2 linked regions of the Saccharomyces cerevisiae S288C genome follow. Changing the gene in region 1 together with any one later gene gives a genetic interaction. Each region holds a gene or a part of one and is shown on either strand. Other genes may lie near its edges.

Evidence for each region.
Region 2: mutations in ASP3-2 (region 1) and SER3 together harm fitness more than expected from each alone (negative genetic interaction), as found in Saccharomyces cerevisiae (one large-scale study listed by BioGRID).

Annotation. Positions count from the first base shown.
Region 1 is NC_001144.5:469,040-477,187, forward strand, and holds ASP3-2 (asparaginase ASP3-2), read right to left. Parts: upstream 5,019-8,148; coding exon 3,930-5,018; downstream 1-3,929. Other genes in the region: asparaginase ASP3-1, read right to left, coding at 278-1,366; YLR156W (uncharacterized protein), read left to right, coding at 3,074-3,418; YLR156C-A (uncharacterized protein), read right to left, coding at 3,440-3,571; YLR157W-D (uncharacterized protein), read left to right, coding at 6,725-6,937.
Region 2 is NC_001137.3:316,629-325,202, reverse strand, and holds SER3 (phosphoglycerate dehydrogenase SER3), read right to left. Parts: upstream 2,518-8,574; coding exon 1,108-2,517; downstream 1-1,107. Other genes in the region: UTP7 (Utp7p), read left to right, coding at 1-931; AIM9 (Aim9p), read right to left, coding at 3,357-5,240; YER079W (uncharacterized protein), read right to left, coding at 5,651-6,283; YER078W-A (uncharacterized protein), read right to left, coding at 6,393-6,557; ICP55 (aminopeptidase), read left to right, coding at 6,861-8,396. UniProt on the Saccharomyces cerevisiae protein: Catalyzes the reversible oxidation of 3-phospho-D-glycerate to 3-phosphonooxypyruvate, the first step of the phosphorylated L-serine biosynthesis pathway. Also catalyzes the reversible oxidation of 2-hydroxyglutarate to 2-oxoglutarate.

The sequences.
Region 1 (8,148 bases):
GAGCAGTGAAAAGAGCGAAGAGAAGAGAAGCAGATAAAAGACCAAAGTAGCGATGATACTTCGATGTTTGGAGCGATTTTTCCTATGTGAATATTAGAAATCATATGTTTTGTATCAGCTGAACAGTGAATGATGTGCTCAATACTCAAATTCATCTTTTTGTTTGCTAAAAATAGCTTAACTGGCACATCATGAAAAGGATGTAGAAATTATAGAGTATATTTACTACTAAGAACTATATAAAAACACAGTGTGATGAAAAGTCACTGATCAGGCTTTAACCACCGTAGACGCCAGAAAAAACAGACCTAATCTGATCCATGCCGTAGCCGGAGTACAAACATAATTGTAGCAAAATACGCGATTTTTGAGGGTTTAGGTAGCCAGATCCAATGGCGTACTCTGGGGCATCATCTGGAGGAACTGTACCATCTGCTGTTCTTCTGCTGTGAACAATTGGTATACCATACTCTTCATAAAGTTGTTCGTTTACAATACTACCCGTAGCAGTCCAGGAACCAGCTCCAGAACCCGCCAACACGATACCTTTTGCGCCCAGGTCCTTGACGGCCTTTACTATTAGCTCAGGATTCAAGCCTTGATAGGAGTACAGAATAATGACTTCTGGAATTTCCGAAGGGTCTGTGAGGTTGGAAATGTCAAAAAATTGCCATCCATTTGGCTTGACTGGTGGGTAGTAAAACTCCACGTCATCATTTGAAAAGTAACCTAAATATCCCTGTTCATCCGCTCTGAATGTATCTAAAGAGTTGGCATTCATTTTCGTTGTCCAAAACCCAGAGGCAATACGATCGTTTAGAGTGATCATCGTGCCACGACCCAGTGATTTCTCAGAAGCAGCAATAGACACTGCTTGATATAAATTCATTGGGCCATCAGCAGACGTGGCAGTGGCTGGACGCATAGCGCCTGCGATACATACTGGCTTCTCTGAATTTATGGTCAAATCTAAGAAGAAAGCTGTCTCCTCCATAGTGTCGGTCCCATGAGTGACAACCGCACCAGCGTAGTCATCAGAGGCTAGTGCCTCGGAGATACCGTGATACAATGGGATCAGATGCGTATAGTTTAAAGAATTTGAACCAACGTTAGACACTTGAAGATAGTCCAGATTTGCCTTCTCAGCTAAAGATGGGACGGCTTCTATTAAATCATTTACGGTTAATCCCACGCTATAACCCGCCGTTGTTGCACTTGTCGAACCCTTGGAAGCGATAGTACCGCCGGTACCAAAAATTTTGATTGATGGCAAAGAAGAATTCTTCTCTTCACGAATTTTTAGTAGTGGAGCACCACTGGACATTGCGACAAAGAGAGAAAGTAAAAGGGTATTTAAAGATCTCATAGTTGGAGGTTGGTGAGTACCAGATTGCTTACAAAAGAATAGCGAGCCAACATTTGCTCTGCCTCAGGCCTCTTGGTGCTGCTTGAAGACTCATCTTATATGGCTTTTGTATGTCATGATTTGTTCTTGTACATTATGTGTTGATATTAAACAAATTGATTTTTTTTTTTTTGCGATAGCAAGCAGATAATGAAAGAGACAAGGACTTGGAACATCCGATAAGACTGCGCCGATATCGATCTTACAGTCCTTCCCTTGTGTCATGACTTTCGGAAAAGCATCCTCGTCGACTGGTAGTTTGCTGTCTGTCACGTGCTGAAGGGTCTGATACATTTTTTTAAAGATAAGAGACGGGGTTTACCCTTCGGAGGACTAAGCGAGATCTCCAAGTAAAGATCTCGCTTATCAAGAAAGCAGCCAAGTGTGGAACGTCCTTTTTTTTGGTTTCAAAAAGATATTCAACAGTTTACACTGCAGCTTTAATTGCCTCAAAAGGATATCATGAGGTGATCTAGGGTCAGAAGGGAAAGATTACAGCATCTTGAGTTGAATCACATCTGCAAAAGGTGGTATTATTGACGTTGCTCTTCCTTAATGGAAACTCATGGGGTTTGGAAAGGAGGTGCGGTAATCTATTTTTTTCGAACACAAAACCTAACCTTGAAAAGAAACTGTCCAATTTCATTGAACTTACCTCAGAACGGGCCGGAGTCTTTGCTTTCAGTCTAACATGGTCTAATTTCTTCGAAAAGCTTCATTTAATTGTTAGACTGTGGTTTTACAAGGAAAAAACCAGTGCTATACTGAAGCGATACCCAGAACTAATTACCTTGTGTGACGATTCGGCTCAGCGAAACGGACATGGTAAAATTGGGAATTTGAAAGCAGGCAGCAGCCTTGTACAGCGACATGACGATAGGTTTAGAATCCCCATCACGTACGAGTTGAAGAATTCTACGAAGGCTCTATGCGTTATTCCTCTATCGGTATAAAGTGTAGCGTTGTAGGGGGGATATTGGTGGTTTAGTTGAATTTGCGCAACGAAATTATAGAACTCATAAAAGTTCAATTCAATACTTGAAACCCTTAACGTTGGTTCGACCATCAATTGTTTGGACATAATAGTTTTATTCTGCGGCCGATTTCAAAATTTAGTAAATCAAATGTTGAAGCATCACCAGTAGGATGACCACTCCCATGACAAAACTCCGTCCCAAAGATAGCTTGATCATCCTAAGCGGGTCGCATTTTACTATCCCCAGTTCCGAAGAATAACAAGGCTCAATGCATATGCTGTTTATCGTGCTCACAAGGCGGTATGACGTTTTTAGCAATGTAATTATATTAAAAAGATCTTCAGTCACTATGAGTGGTTGATTGCCCCATAGAGAGCTATAAGCCGACGTGAAAGCTGCTGGTTCCAGCTTGGCTCATGTCGTCACCAGTCACTAGTCACTTGGTCGCATTCATTGCTACTCATCTGCGAGTGAGCATATTTGAGATCTGACTTGCCAAGGGATTAGAATCACGTAAGACTCTTGATCCTTAGAAGATATTTCTGACAAAGAACCACCTAAGCCATGCAAGTTTTTTTTTTCATTTGGTGGCGAAACAAAGGTGATGAAAGTTTCTTCTTGTACAAACGCCAATCCCGATAGGTGAGACAATTCTTGAAGTAATGGACCTCTGAGTAAGCATATCAGTCGAATGAAGTTCCAATATGCGTTGGCCAAGGAACAGCTAGGCAGCAACTCGCGCAGTGGCGTCAAAAAACTAATAAGTAAACACCACTGGCTTCCGGAATACTATTTCTCTGATCTCTCATTTTCTGTTGTACAGCAGTGGGACAGTAGAGCCATTGAAAAAACTACAATCATATCTTGTATGCGGCCCGCAAACCAAGAGATTTATCCTTTGAGACATTGTGAGACCCTCCGTTCGCAACCGTGCTCTCTGTTTTCATCACTATATGCACGCTCTTTCCAAAGCTCCTGCACTTTGCACGTGGCGGAGCCATCGCCCGGCTTCCATATGTACGGCTGCCACACCTAACTATTTCGGTTGCGGCCATATCTACCAGAAAGCACCGTTTCCCGTCCGATCAACTGTAGTTAAGCTGGTAAGAGCCTGACCGAGTAGTGTAGTGGGTGACCATACGCGAAACTCAGGTGCTGCAGTTGTTTTTTTTTTCGCGCACGAATACATCACGCAGCCTCGCCTTGACACTGCTCAAGGGATAAGGGGAAGGAGCTGAGATAGAACTGAGTTGGAGCGTTGCAGCGGCACGAGCAGTGAAAAGAGCGAAGAGAAGAGAAGCAGATAAAAGACCAAAGTAGCGATGATACTTCGATGTTTGGAGCGATTTTTCCTATGTGAATATTAGAAATCATATGTTTTGTATCAGCTGAACAGTGAATGATGTGCTCAATACTCAAATTCATCTTTTTGTTTGCTAAAAATAGCTTAACTGGCACATCATGAAAAGGATGTAGAAATTATAGAGTATATTTACTACTAAGAACTATATAAAAACACAGTGTGATGAAAAGTCACTGATCAGGCTTTAACCACCGTAGACGCCAGAAAAAACAGACCTAATCTGATCCATGCCGTAGCCGGAGTACAAACATAATTGTAGCAAAATACGCGATTTTTGAGGGTTTAGGTAGCCAGATCCAATGGCGTACTCTGGGGCATCATCTGGAGGAACTGTACCATCTGCTGTTCTTCTGCTGTGAACAATTGGTATACCATACTCTTCATAAAGTTGTTCGTTTACAATACTACCCGTAGCAGTCCAGGAACCAGCTCCAGAACCCGCCAACACGATACCTTTTGCGCCCAGGTCCTTGACGGCCTTTACTATTAGCTCAGGATTCAAGCCTTGATAGGAGTACAGAATAATGACTTCTGGAATTTCCGAAGGGTCTGTGAGGTTGGAAATGTCAAAAAATTGCCATCCATTTGGCTTGACTGGTGGGTAGTAAAACTCCACGTCATCATTTGAAAAGTAACCTAAATATCCCTGTTCATCCGCTCTGAATGTATCTAAAGAGTTGGCATTCATTTTCGTTGTCCAAAACCCAGAGGCAATACGATCGTTTAGAGTGATCATCGTGCCACGACCCAGTGATTTCTCAGAAGCAGCAATAGACACTGCTTGATATAAATTCATTGGGCCATCAGCAGACGTGGCAGTGGCTGGACGCATAGCGCCTGCGATACATACTGGCTTCTCTGAATTTATGGTCAAATCTAAGAAGAAAGCTGTCTCCTCCATAGTGTCGGTCCCATGAGTGACAACCGCACCAGCGTAGTCATCAGAGGCTAGTGCCTCGGAGATACCGTGATACAATGGGATCAGATGCGTATAGTTTAAAGAATTTGAACCAACGTTAGACACTTGAAGATAGTCCAGATTTGCCTTCTCAGCTAAAGATGGGACGGCTTCTATTAAATCATTTACGGTTAATCCCACGCTATAACCCGCCGTTGTTGCACTTGTCGAACCCTTGGAAGCGATAGTACCGCCGGTACCAAAAATTTTGATTGATGGCAAAGAAGAATTCTTCTCTTCACGAATTTTTAGTAGTGGAGCACCACTGGACATTGCGACAAAGAGAGAAAGTAAAAGGGTATTTAAAGATCTCATAGTTGGAGGTTGGTGAGTACCAGATTGCTTACAAAAGAATAGCGAGCCAACATTTGCTCTGCCTCAGGCCTCTTGGTGCTGCTTGAAGACTCATCTTATATGGCTTTTGTATGTCATGATTTGTTCTTGTACATTATGTGTTGATATTAAACAAATTGATTTTTTTTTTTTTGCGATAGCAAGCAGATAATGAAAGAGACAAGGACTTGGAACATCCGATAAGACTGCGCCGATATCGATCTTACAGTCCTTCCCTTGTGTCATGACTTTCGGAAAAGCATCCTCGTCGACTGGTAGTTTGCTGTCTGTCACGTGCTGAAGGGTCTGATACATTTTTTTAAAGATAAGAGACGGGGTTTACCTTCGGAGGACTAAGCGAGATCTCCAAGTAAAGATCTCGCTTATCAAGAAAGCAGCCAAGTGTGGAACGTCCTTTTTTTTGGTTTCAAAAAGATATTCAACAGTTTACACTGCAGCTTTAATTGCCTCAAAAGGATATCATGAGGTGATCTAGGGTCAGAAGGGAAAGATTACAGCATCTTGAGTTGAATCACATCTGCAAAAGGTGGTATTATTGACGTTGCTCTTCCTTAATGGAAACTCATGGGGTTTGGAAAGGAGGTGCGGTAATCTATTTTTTTCGAACACAAAACCTAACCTTGAAAAGAAACTGTCCAATTTCATTGAACTTACCTCAGAACGGGCCGGAGTCTTTGCTTTCAGTCTAACATGGTCTAATTTCTTCGAAAAGCTTCATTTAATTGTTAGACTGTGGTTTTACAAGGAAAAAACCAGTGCTATACTGAAGCGATACCCAGAACTAATTACCTTGTGTGACGATTCGGCTCAGCGAAACGGACATGGTAAAATTGGGAATTTGAAAGCAGGCAGCAGCCTTGTACAGCGACATGACGATAGGTTTAGAATCCCCATCACGTACGAGTTGAAGAATTCTACGAAGGCTCTATGCGTTATTCCTCTATCGGTATAAAGTGTAGCGTTGTAGGGGGGATATTGGTGGTTTAGTTGAATTTGCGCAACGAAATTATAGAACTCATAAAAGTTCAATTCAATACTTGAAACCCTTAACGTTGGTTCGACCATCAATTGTTTGGACATAATAGTTTTATTCTGCGGCCGATTTCAAAATTTAGTAAATCAAATGTTGAAGCATCACCAGTAGGATGACCACTCCCATGACAAAACTCCGTCCCAAAGATAGCTTGATCATCCTAAGCGGGTCGCATTTTACTATCCCCAGTTCCGAAGAATAACAAGGCTCAATGCATATGCTGTTTATCGTGCTCACAAGGCGGTATGACGTTTTTAGCAATGTAATTATATTAAAAAGATCTTCAGTCACTATGAGTGGTTGATTGCCCCATAGAGAGCTATAAGCCGACGTGAAAGCTGCTGGTTCCAGCTTGGCTCATGTCGTCACCAGTCACTAGTCACTTGGTCGCATTCATTGCTACTCATCTGCGAGTGAGCATATTTGAGATCTGACTTGCCAAGGGATTAGAATCACGTAAGACTCTTGATCCTTAGAAGATATTTCTGACAAAGAACCACCTAAGCCATGCAAGTTTTTTTTTTCATTTGGTGGCGAAACAAAGGTGATGAAAGTTTCTTCTTGTACAAACGCCAAGCCCGATAGGTGAGACAATTCTTGAAGTAATGGACCTCTGAGTAAGCATATCAGTCGAATGAAGTTCCAATATGCGTTGGCCAAGGAACAGCTAGGCAGCAACTCGCGCAGTGGCGTCAAAAAACTAATAAGTAAACACCACTGGCTTCCGGAATACTATTTCTCTGATCTCTCATTTTCTGTTGTACAGCAGTGGGACAGTAGAGCCATTGAAAAAACTACAATCATATCTTGTATGCGGCCCGCAAACCAAGAGATTTATCCTTTGTGAGAAATGGGTGAATGTTGAGATAATTGTTGGGATTCCATTGTTGATAAAGGCTATAATATTAGGTATACAGAATATACTAGAAGTTCTCCTCGAGGATATAGGAATCCTCAAAATGGAATCTATATTTCTACATACTAATATTACGATTATTCCTCATTCCGTTTTATATGTTTATATTCATTGATCCTATTACATTATCAATCCTTGCGTTTCAGCTTCCACTAATTTAGATGACTATTTCTCATCATTTGCGTCATCTTCTAACACCGTATATGATAATATACTAGTAATGTAAATACTAGTTAGTAGATGATAGTTGATTTCTATTCCAACATACCACCCATAATGTAATAGATCTAATGAATCCATTTGTTAGTTAATAGTTTAAATGTTTTTATCGGAAGAGGTTTTGTCATCACATCAGCAATGTTCTTCTTGGTCTCGATGTAGTATACGTATAAATTATTACCTGATACTTCATCTCTAAGTCTCATTGCCTTTGTGCCAAAAAATCTGTTTCTAAATTTCTCTTCATTTGTAGACTTAATTATACTGATCGTTGATCTACTATCAGTAAGTAAGCCTTTAATAATTGGTTTCTTGTTAAGTTCTTGTATCAGGTAACTTAGATTATTTAATAATGGGACAGATTCACTTATCGCGTGTATTTCTGCTTCCGTAGTTGAAGTACATGTTAATGAAGCCTTGGTGGACTTTCCTCCAATTACCTTTCCATTAAGTAAATATATGTTGCCAATTTGTGATTTATAATACGGTTGGTTGCCATACGAAGCATCACTTATTGCGACTAGTTTATTATCTGGCTCGGTAGGTTTGTTTTTGTGCCATATCAGTTGTTTATCTCTAGTGTCCCACATGAATTGTATCAACTCATATGTCATGTCTAAAACTTGCCTAGAGGGGAATAGTATATGTTGAGCAAGTGTGTTGATGTAGTATAGTAAGTCAAATCTAAATTTATATCCAACATATGAAGCTAGACCAATCAACTTTTGCATTTCATGTACCTTCTCTTTGTATTCATCTTCATCTATTTCTAGTTCATCCTGGTCTATATAAAGACCTGGTTGACCTGGAGCGCTAAGTTTTCTTCCTTTTGGATTCAAAGGTACGTTTAATTTGGGTATTTTCTCAGTTAATGAGTTTTCCATACCTAATTTCATGTATTTACCTCTTTGATATTTGATTTC
Region 2 (8,574 bases), on another chromosome or scaffold:
TGTGATGCATCTAGGTCATTCAAACGGTACAGTATCCCTCTGGTCACCATCCATGCCTGAACCATTAGTAAAATTACTTTCTGCCAGAGGACCAGTGAACAGCATTGCTATCGATAGAAGCGGGTATTACATGGCAACCACAGGGGCTGATAGGTCGATGAAAATTTGGGATATCAGAAACTTCAAGCAACTACATTCTGTGGAAAGCTTACCGACGCCAGGAACAAACGTTTCCATTTCAGATACTGGTCTATTGGCATTATCTAGGGGCCCTCACGTTACGTTGTGGAAGGACGCTTTAAAATTAAGTGGAGACAGTAAACCGTGCTTCGGGTCCATGGGAGGGAACCCACATAGAAACACCCCTTACATGTCACATTTGTTTGCCGGAAACAAAGTAGAAAATTTGGGATTCGTACCATTTGAAGATTTACTAGGTGTAGGCCATCAAACGGGTATTACGAATTTGATTGTACCTGGTGCAGGTGAAGCCAATTACGATGCCTTAGAATTAAACCCATTCGAAACCAAAAAACAAAGACAGGAACAGGAAGTCAGAACCCTATTGAACAAACTGCCAGCAGATACAATTACTTTAGATCCGAATTCCATCGGTTCAGTGGATAAAAGGTCTTCTACCATAAGGTTAAACGCTAAGGATTTGGCGCAAACTACAATGGATGCTAATAATAAAGCCAAAACCAACAGCGACATTCCAGATGTAAAACCTGATGTGAAAGGTAAGAATTCGGGTTTGCGTTCCTTTTTGCGTAAAAAGACTCAAAACGTTATTGATGAAAGAAAATTAAGAGTACAGAAACAACTGGATAAGGAGAAAAATATTCGTAAAAGAAACCACCAAATCAAACAAGGCCTAATTTCAGAAGACCACAAGGATGTCATCGAAGAGGCATTGAGCAGATTCGGCTAAATCGAAATATCTTTAAAAAAAAAACTTAAATGATTATGTATGTATATATAAAATAGATAATCATTATTATTGCCTCAAGCATTCTTCTATCCATTTTTTTTTTGGTTCTTTTTAATATTTTATAGGAAACTTTTAATCATGTTCAAAAAGTTGACAGTATGAGAATCGATTGCATATTAATATAGCAATCTAATTGAGATCTTAGCAGAGGTTTGATTTAGTTGTTCATAAATATCTTTAATATCGCTTTGGTCAACAGAAGAGATATCAGCCATTAAATAAGCAATTTCACCATTTGAATCGGAAAATTGCTTTTCGATGTTATGGTTCGATAAAATATCATTGACGGTCTTCAAAACACCTGGTACATTTTGGTGAATGTATAACACACGCACAGTGTTCTCTTGGTCGTAAGACAATGATTTCAATGCCACTTCTGGGAAGTTGACTGAACCGACAGAGTTACCTTCATTGATGTATTTGGACAATGCGGTAGCCACTTCAATACCGATTGAGCTTTGGGCTTCTTCGGTAGAGCCACCAATGTGTGGTGTCAAGATGATATTTGGTAATGAAACTAATTCAGAAGTCCAGCTATTTAGCTCATCGTTAAATGAACCTTCACCGTTCTTAGCTGGTTCATGTGGATAAACATCCAAAGCAGCACCTGCAATTTTGTTGGCTTTCACGGCTTGGATCAAAGATGGAATGTCCACGACAGTACCTCTTGAAGCATTAATAACATAAGCGCCATCCTTCATAGCAGCAAATTGTGGGGCAGATAACATTTTTTCAGTTTCAGGAGTAGCTGGTACATGTAGTGTCACAAAATCAGATTTATTCAACAATTCATCTAATGTAGAAACTTGTCTGGCAGTACCCAAGGCCATGATAGTTACAATATCGTAGTACAACACATGCAAACCCATAGCTTCTGCAAGAACTGATAATTGGGAACCAATGTGACCGTACCCAATAATACCAAGAGTTTTTCCTCTTACCTCCCAACATCTAGCAGCAACCTTATTCCATGTACCGGTATGTAATTCGATAGATCTATCACCTAGTTGTCTTGCTAAACTAATGATTTCAGCGATGACCAATTCTGCTACTGATCTTGAGTTGGAGAAAGGCGAGTTGAAAACAGCAATACCTCTGCTGGTAGCGTAGTCTAAGTCAACTTGGTTGGTACCGATACAGAAACAACCAATACAAACCAGATTCTTCGCATGTTGTAAGACATTTGAAGTTAATCTAGTCTTTGATCTGATACCAATAGCATGAACGTCCTTGATCTTTTCGATCAACTCTTCCTCGGGCAATGAAGATTTATAGAATTCGACTTGGTAACCTTGCTCTTCGAAGATTGTAATAGCAGTTTGATTAACGTTTTCTAATAGTAAAATCTTCATATCACCCGTTGAGAAAGGCTTCAAAATTTTTGGGTGCTTTACAGCATTCAAGCGCTGTGGAACGGTATTCATGAAAGATTGCGTAGGTGAAGTACAAACAGCGCCTGGGGAGCCGCTCATATTCATAGCTTGTTGAAAGGTATTTTGTAAGTTGTTAATGTCAATGCTTGTCATTGCTGTCGATTTTTCTGTGGTTCTTTATAGAGTTCTGTATTTTTACTAAGATAGTTGACAAGTATCAAAAAGTGAAATAACTAGAAATGGTTCTTCCTTTATATACATAACAGTTTTAAGAATTTCCTTATCCTCTGCTCCCTCCTTCCAACAAAGTAATTACTCATAACTTGGATATTTGTCTGATTTTTTCATCCCGCTCAGAAAACCCTGCACGGGCAGCGTTGCATTTTCTTAATTTTTTTCTCGTGGTAGAAGTCAAGGACAATAAATTGCGAAATTAGGTGGGAACGAGAAGAATAATTAAAGTGCTGAGACCGAAGTTGTTCCCCTTGAATTCCATTTGTGAGTAAATATCGAAAATGGGTCCACAAAAAAAATTAGGTTTTTCTAAAATATTAGGTCCAGCCTAACTGCTTAACCAAATTTTTAATTTGTGATATTTGCACATAGCTTGGCCAAACAAAGGCATTACTCGATTGTGAGTAAAAAACTAAAACAATGTAGATAATCAGGATTAAACAATGGCATTTCTATGGATTTGTTGTTCTCTTTATATATTTGAGGAAAATTCAAAGATAATGGGGAGAAAGGTGGAGATGTATCTCCACCTATCGTAAATTTGAAAGTTCCGCTTTTCCGCCAATTGCACCCAAACATCACGCAACGCTTTTTAAAACGTTATCAATATATCCAATCCAGCATTGTTAAGTTGATTAGTAAATGGAAGAGATTCCATTGTGTACAAAAAAGGGTTTTAACTTGATTATTTTGTTATAACGTTCTATACAGTTGAATGAGGTAAAGAAAACAAAAAAATATTTCATTTTTAGTATAGATTATTTGGTAGCTTCAGGTTGCTTCACGGTGTAGTCTCCGTTCTCTTGCTTAACAATACTGCCGGAATTTAATAGTTGATCAAACATATCTTGAGGAATCCACCCTTGAGTGGCAGCAAATGGTGTAGAGATTAGCTTTTCGTGTAATTTTTGCAAATCCTCAACATGTCTTTCAATATCTTCTTTACTATAGTTTAGAGGAAACTTTTTCTGATTCACTAACTCATTCTGGGCAAAGATGTCCCAAACTTCCTTCAATTGCAATAGTGATTCATCAATAAGTAAATACTCTTCTTCCGTTTTTCTTTCGACAGCTGCAATATATGGGCTTCTCAGTAGCTTAACAGGTGGGGCAACTGCAGTAATTAATTTAGGATTATTGTCATTTAATTTTTTCTCCCATTGATGTTGATTACGGGTGCGCTTGTACATGAACTGATATTGCACCTTTTCCGCCTCAGATAATTTGTCAAAATCGGTTATGTCCTCCTTTAAGTCATAAATCTTGGGCCCATCATAGGCGATGAATTGTGGCGAATTCTGTAAAATGAAAGGTTTTGTGCATGCTCCTTCAAAATCTAATAGATAGGCTTCTTGTGCTTCTTTGTTAACAATAATATTCATGGGGTCTAGATCAGGATGAAACAAACGTGGTGACAATAGTTCCTGCATATTTGGAATGGCCTTTGTTTTGACGTTGAATAAATCCGGGGCAATCTTAGCTAAATTTTCATAGGTAGTTATTTGCTCCTTCAAAGTTCGAGGATACATCAATTCAGCTGAACTTCCTGCCTCTTTCATGGCTATTCTAGTTTTAGCATTTTCAGCTTCCAATAGGCCAGTATTTTTAATTATATCCATTGGAGACTTCTTTGGCCATGGTCCCAAAAAAGGTTTCATTTGTTTATGAAAATCCAAGTGAGATTTATGTCTCCAGAGACATCTTTCCACGGATGGCCCAATTTTCCATCTGTTTTGTAGATCCGGATTAGTTTCCCCATCGTATATGTCTTCCTTAACAAACTCCTTCTCATTTCCGTCTTTTAAGTCATTGTTAAAATATATGGATCCAAATGCATTTAATTTCAATGACACTAACTTCGACTGAAAATCAGAAACTTGTTTAATAACATTGTCATATTTTTTTTGATTGGAGGAACCGTCTTCAATCAATGGATCCCAATCTTTCATCAAGAGTTCTCCTTCGATAAATTCTTGTAAGACAAAAGGCTGCCTTACAGGGTTCAAAGAATTGACACCATAACAAAAAATCTTGGGAACTTTGATGCCCAACTTCAAGTCAGCAAAATCCATGGTTGCTACTTCACTTCTTATTCTGTAGGATAGAGTGTTTTCATTTTCCAGCGGATAAGGAATCCTCAAGATAAATGCCTTGTTCAAATTCGTGTCGACCTTGTATATTCTGTGATGTTTACCTTCGTGAATACTAGATAATGTGGTTACTTGAACTTTTTCATTTGGGTTGATTTTACCTATATTCTTTGGTACAACGTTATTGACCAATGAAACGGTCAAGTTCTTGTTAAACACTGGTGGTAAGATCTTACCGTCGGGGGCCTTAGCCATTTCATTAGATTGAATGTAGATGTCATTGAGAATGCGATTTAAACCTTCAATCGAAAACTTCGTGAATCTTTTTTCCTTTTCTTGCTTATCATTTTTAAGCCATGAGCCCCACGTATATTTGAAAAAGGCATCTCTCTTTGGATCATTGTCATTCGTTAGCTTGGTAAAAACTTCGTTTGGCTTATTGGAGATAAATCTCTTGGTGGCGGCGACGGTGATACATTTAATTGCACCCACTCTTTTCGAAGCTCCTACTACACACCTTCTGGAATGGCCAGCAACAGTGTACCTAATCATGCTTGGTCTTCGTATTGCTGTCTTGCTTGCTAAACAGCTTTTGCTACTTCTTCTTCGCTGATGAGAAAAGGGAGTCTACTAAATACAGTTCGGCTTAAAGTGTCGCTGGTCAGCAATCGGCCCGAAAATACATTGAACATTTGAAATTACCATGTTTCAAAACGAATATTTATTATAATTATTACTAGTAAAAGTTATACATAAGAAGGGAATAATACAAAGAAACGGGAAACAGCTAAATGTAGTATATAGCCGAAAGATGTGGACATATCCCAACAAATCGTCTTATGAGATCCTTTTTTTGTTTTATATTTTTTTTTTTTAGCGGGTATAAACGTATCATTTATATATTTTATTCTTTCCTTTAACTCTCAAAATTTGAGCAATTAGGTTACTGTGGTTCACGTGATTCAAGTGTGCACATTGCTGCTATGCTTTGTAGTATTATCCATAGAGTTTAGGGAGGGGGAATGGTCGGAGAGTGGGTAATTTGCATTGTCTAATGGAGCAGAATCAGCGTTACTTTTCTGGAAATAAAACTGGTCCGATAACGAAGTAGTAGAATCAGAGGTGAGATTGGAGTTGGAAGTGGTGTTGAGTTTGTAAAACTTTTCGGTTTGATCATGCGATACCTTGTATTTGTCATCCTTGTCATTCTTCTTTTTTTTGTTCTTCTTTTTGTTCTTAGGGTCTACCATATTGCTAGTCTTCGGGGTAGGAGACTTTGTTCCATTATTGTGATCATATTGTTTTCGAACCATGGAATTCAATAAATTAAGTGAATATTTCGGAATCCCATCTCTTTTGACATTAATCCCCTGAATACCATCCTTCGTGGCAATCATGGAGGCACCTGATGTGATGGAGCAACCTGAGTTCGTTCTCGTTATCCTATCTTCACCAGAGGCAATATTGGAAGGGCTCATTGATCTCTGATCTAAGTCCAGGTTAGTAGACCTGTTATTAGTGTAAATGGACTGATCATAGAGAGAGATGGCAGATGCAACATCTTTTGAGCTTATTGAATGTGATGAATCAGGCATTATTAACTATTCGCTTCCTTTTCTTATCTCAGCAGTTTGTGTTTTTTATTCTTATTGTTATTATCCCTTTTAACTATATATGCATAAGCTAAGTTAAATATTAAAATATTTATATATAAACGTTACAGGGCGTGTGAACACATTTGAAAAAATGCTGGAAGGTAATGGTAGATATAAGAATTGGAATAACAGGTTGATAGAGAATCGCCAAGCTAGAGAGTTCTGACAAGCGGCAAGGGGGAAGGATGAGACGCAGATACGAAAGCCGCACCATTAAACCGTAAAGAGAGAAAAATAAAGAATGACTTATTTCTCGGAAAGGCCAAATGCAATTATGCAACACGCACACATTCACACTCACACTCACACATAAACTTTGACTGAAACCAAAACTGTTGTGAGTAATAGCCTTTCTTGTTCATAAAATAGTACAAGATACAGTAAATATATATCAACTCACCTGGTATAGGGATCACTTACTGCACTGCAAAAGTGGATCGTTTGCGCAAGAAACTCCACCAATTCTAAAGAATATAATAGAAAAAGCTAATAGGAAAAGTGGTCATTTTCTGTTGATATGTTACATAGGATAAACCCAGTACGGTTTTCTATGCAATCTTGCCAAAGATACTTCTCGAAGTTGGTATCGCCATTGGAACAGCATAAAAGTAATACTTTTACTAATAGAGTCAGAATCCCCATTGAGGCAGGCCAACCACTGCATGAGACAAGGCCGTTCCTTATAAAGTCGGGCGAGTTGACACCAGGCATTTCAGCCTTGGAATACTATGAAAGAAGAATTAGGTTGGCGGAAACATTGCCTCCCAAAAGTTGTGTGATTTTAGCTGGTAACGATATCCAATTTGCATCTGGAGCAGTATTTTATCCGTTCCAACAGGAAAATGACCTGTTTTATCTTAGTGGTTGGAATGAACCTAATTCGGTCATGATTTTAGAAAAGCCAACGGATAGTTTAAGTGATACAATTTTCCACATGCTGGTTCCGCCAAAGGATGCGTTTGCTGAAAAGTGGGAAGGATTTAGGTCTGGGGTTTATGGTGTTCAAGAAATTTTCAATGCCGATGAATCTGCTTCCATTAACGATTTGTCTAAATATTTGCCCAAAATAATTAACAGGAATGATTTCATCTATTTTGATATGCTATCAACTTCTAATCCCAGTTCGTCCAATTTTAAACACATCAAGAGCCTGTTAGATGGCAGTGGGAATAGCAATCGATCATTGAATTCCATTGCGAATAAGACCATCAAACCCATCAGTAAAAGAATTGCAGAGTTCCGTAAGATCAAGTCCCCTCAAGAGTTGAGAATTATGAGGAGAGCTGGCCAAATATCAGGAAGATCGTTCAATCAAGCCTTTGCTAAAAGATTTAGGAATGAGAGAACTTTAGATTCCTTTCTTCATTACAAGTTTATATCCGGTGGTTGCGATAAGGACGCATATATCCCCGTGGTCGCTACTGGTTCGAATTCTTTGTGTATCCATTACACAAGAAACGATGATGTGATGTTTGACGACGAAATGGTTCTTGTAGACGCTGCTGGCTCCTTGGGTGGTTATTGTGCTGATATTTCGAGAACGTGGCCCAATAGTGGGAAATTCACTGATGCACAAAGAGATCTCTACGAAGCTGTATTAAATGTTCAGCGTGATTGCATTAAGTTATGTAAAGCTAGCAATAACTATTCCCTCCACGACATCCATGAAAAGAGTATCACACTCATGAAACAGGAATTGAAAAACTTGGGCATAGATAAAGTCTCCGGTTGGAATGTTGAAAAATTGTATCCGCACTATATTGGACACAATTTAGGTCTAGATGTTCACGATGTGCCTAAAGTTTCCAGGTACGAACCATTAAAGGTTGGACAAGTTATTACTATTGAACCGGGTTTATATATTCCTAACGAGGAATCATTTCCATCTTACTTTAGAAACGTCGGAATAAGAATTGAAGATGACATAGCCATTGGTGAAGATACTTACACTAATTTAACTGTTGAAGCAGTGAAAGAAATTGACGATTTAGAAAATGTCATGCAAAATGGCTTATCTACAAAATTCGAGGAGGACCAAGTGGCACCACTGTAATGTTATTGCTAAATTGAGTACACCCTGTATATACAGATACATAACTTATCGATTTAAGGTCTTTTAATATTAAACGGAAAATTCAAAAAAAAAAAAATTTACTGAAAATATCTTGAGATACTTTTCTTCAGCTTTCTTTTTGTTTTTTTCCTCTTCTTCTTGGGCACTGCTCTTTAGT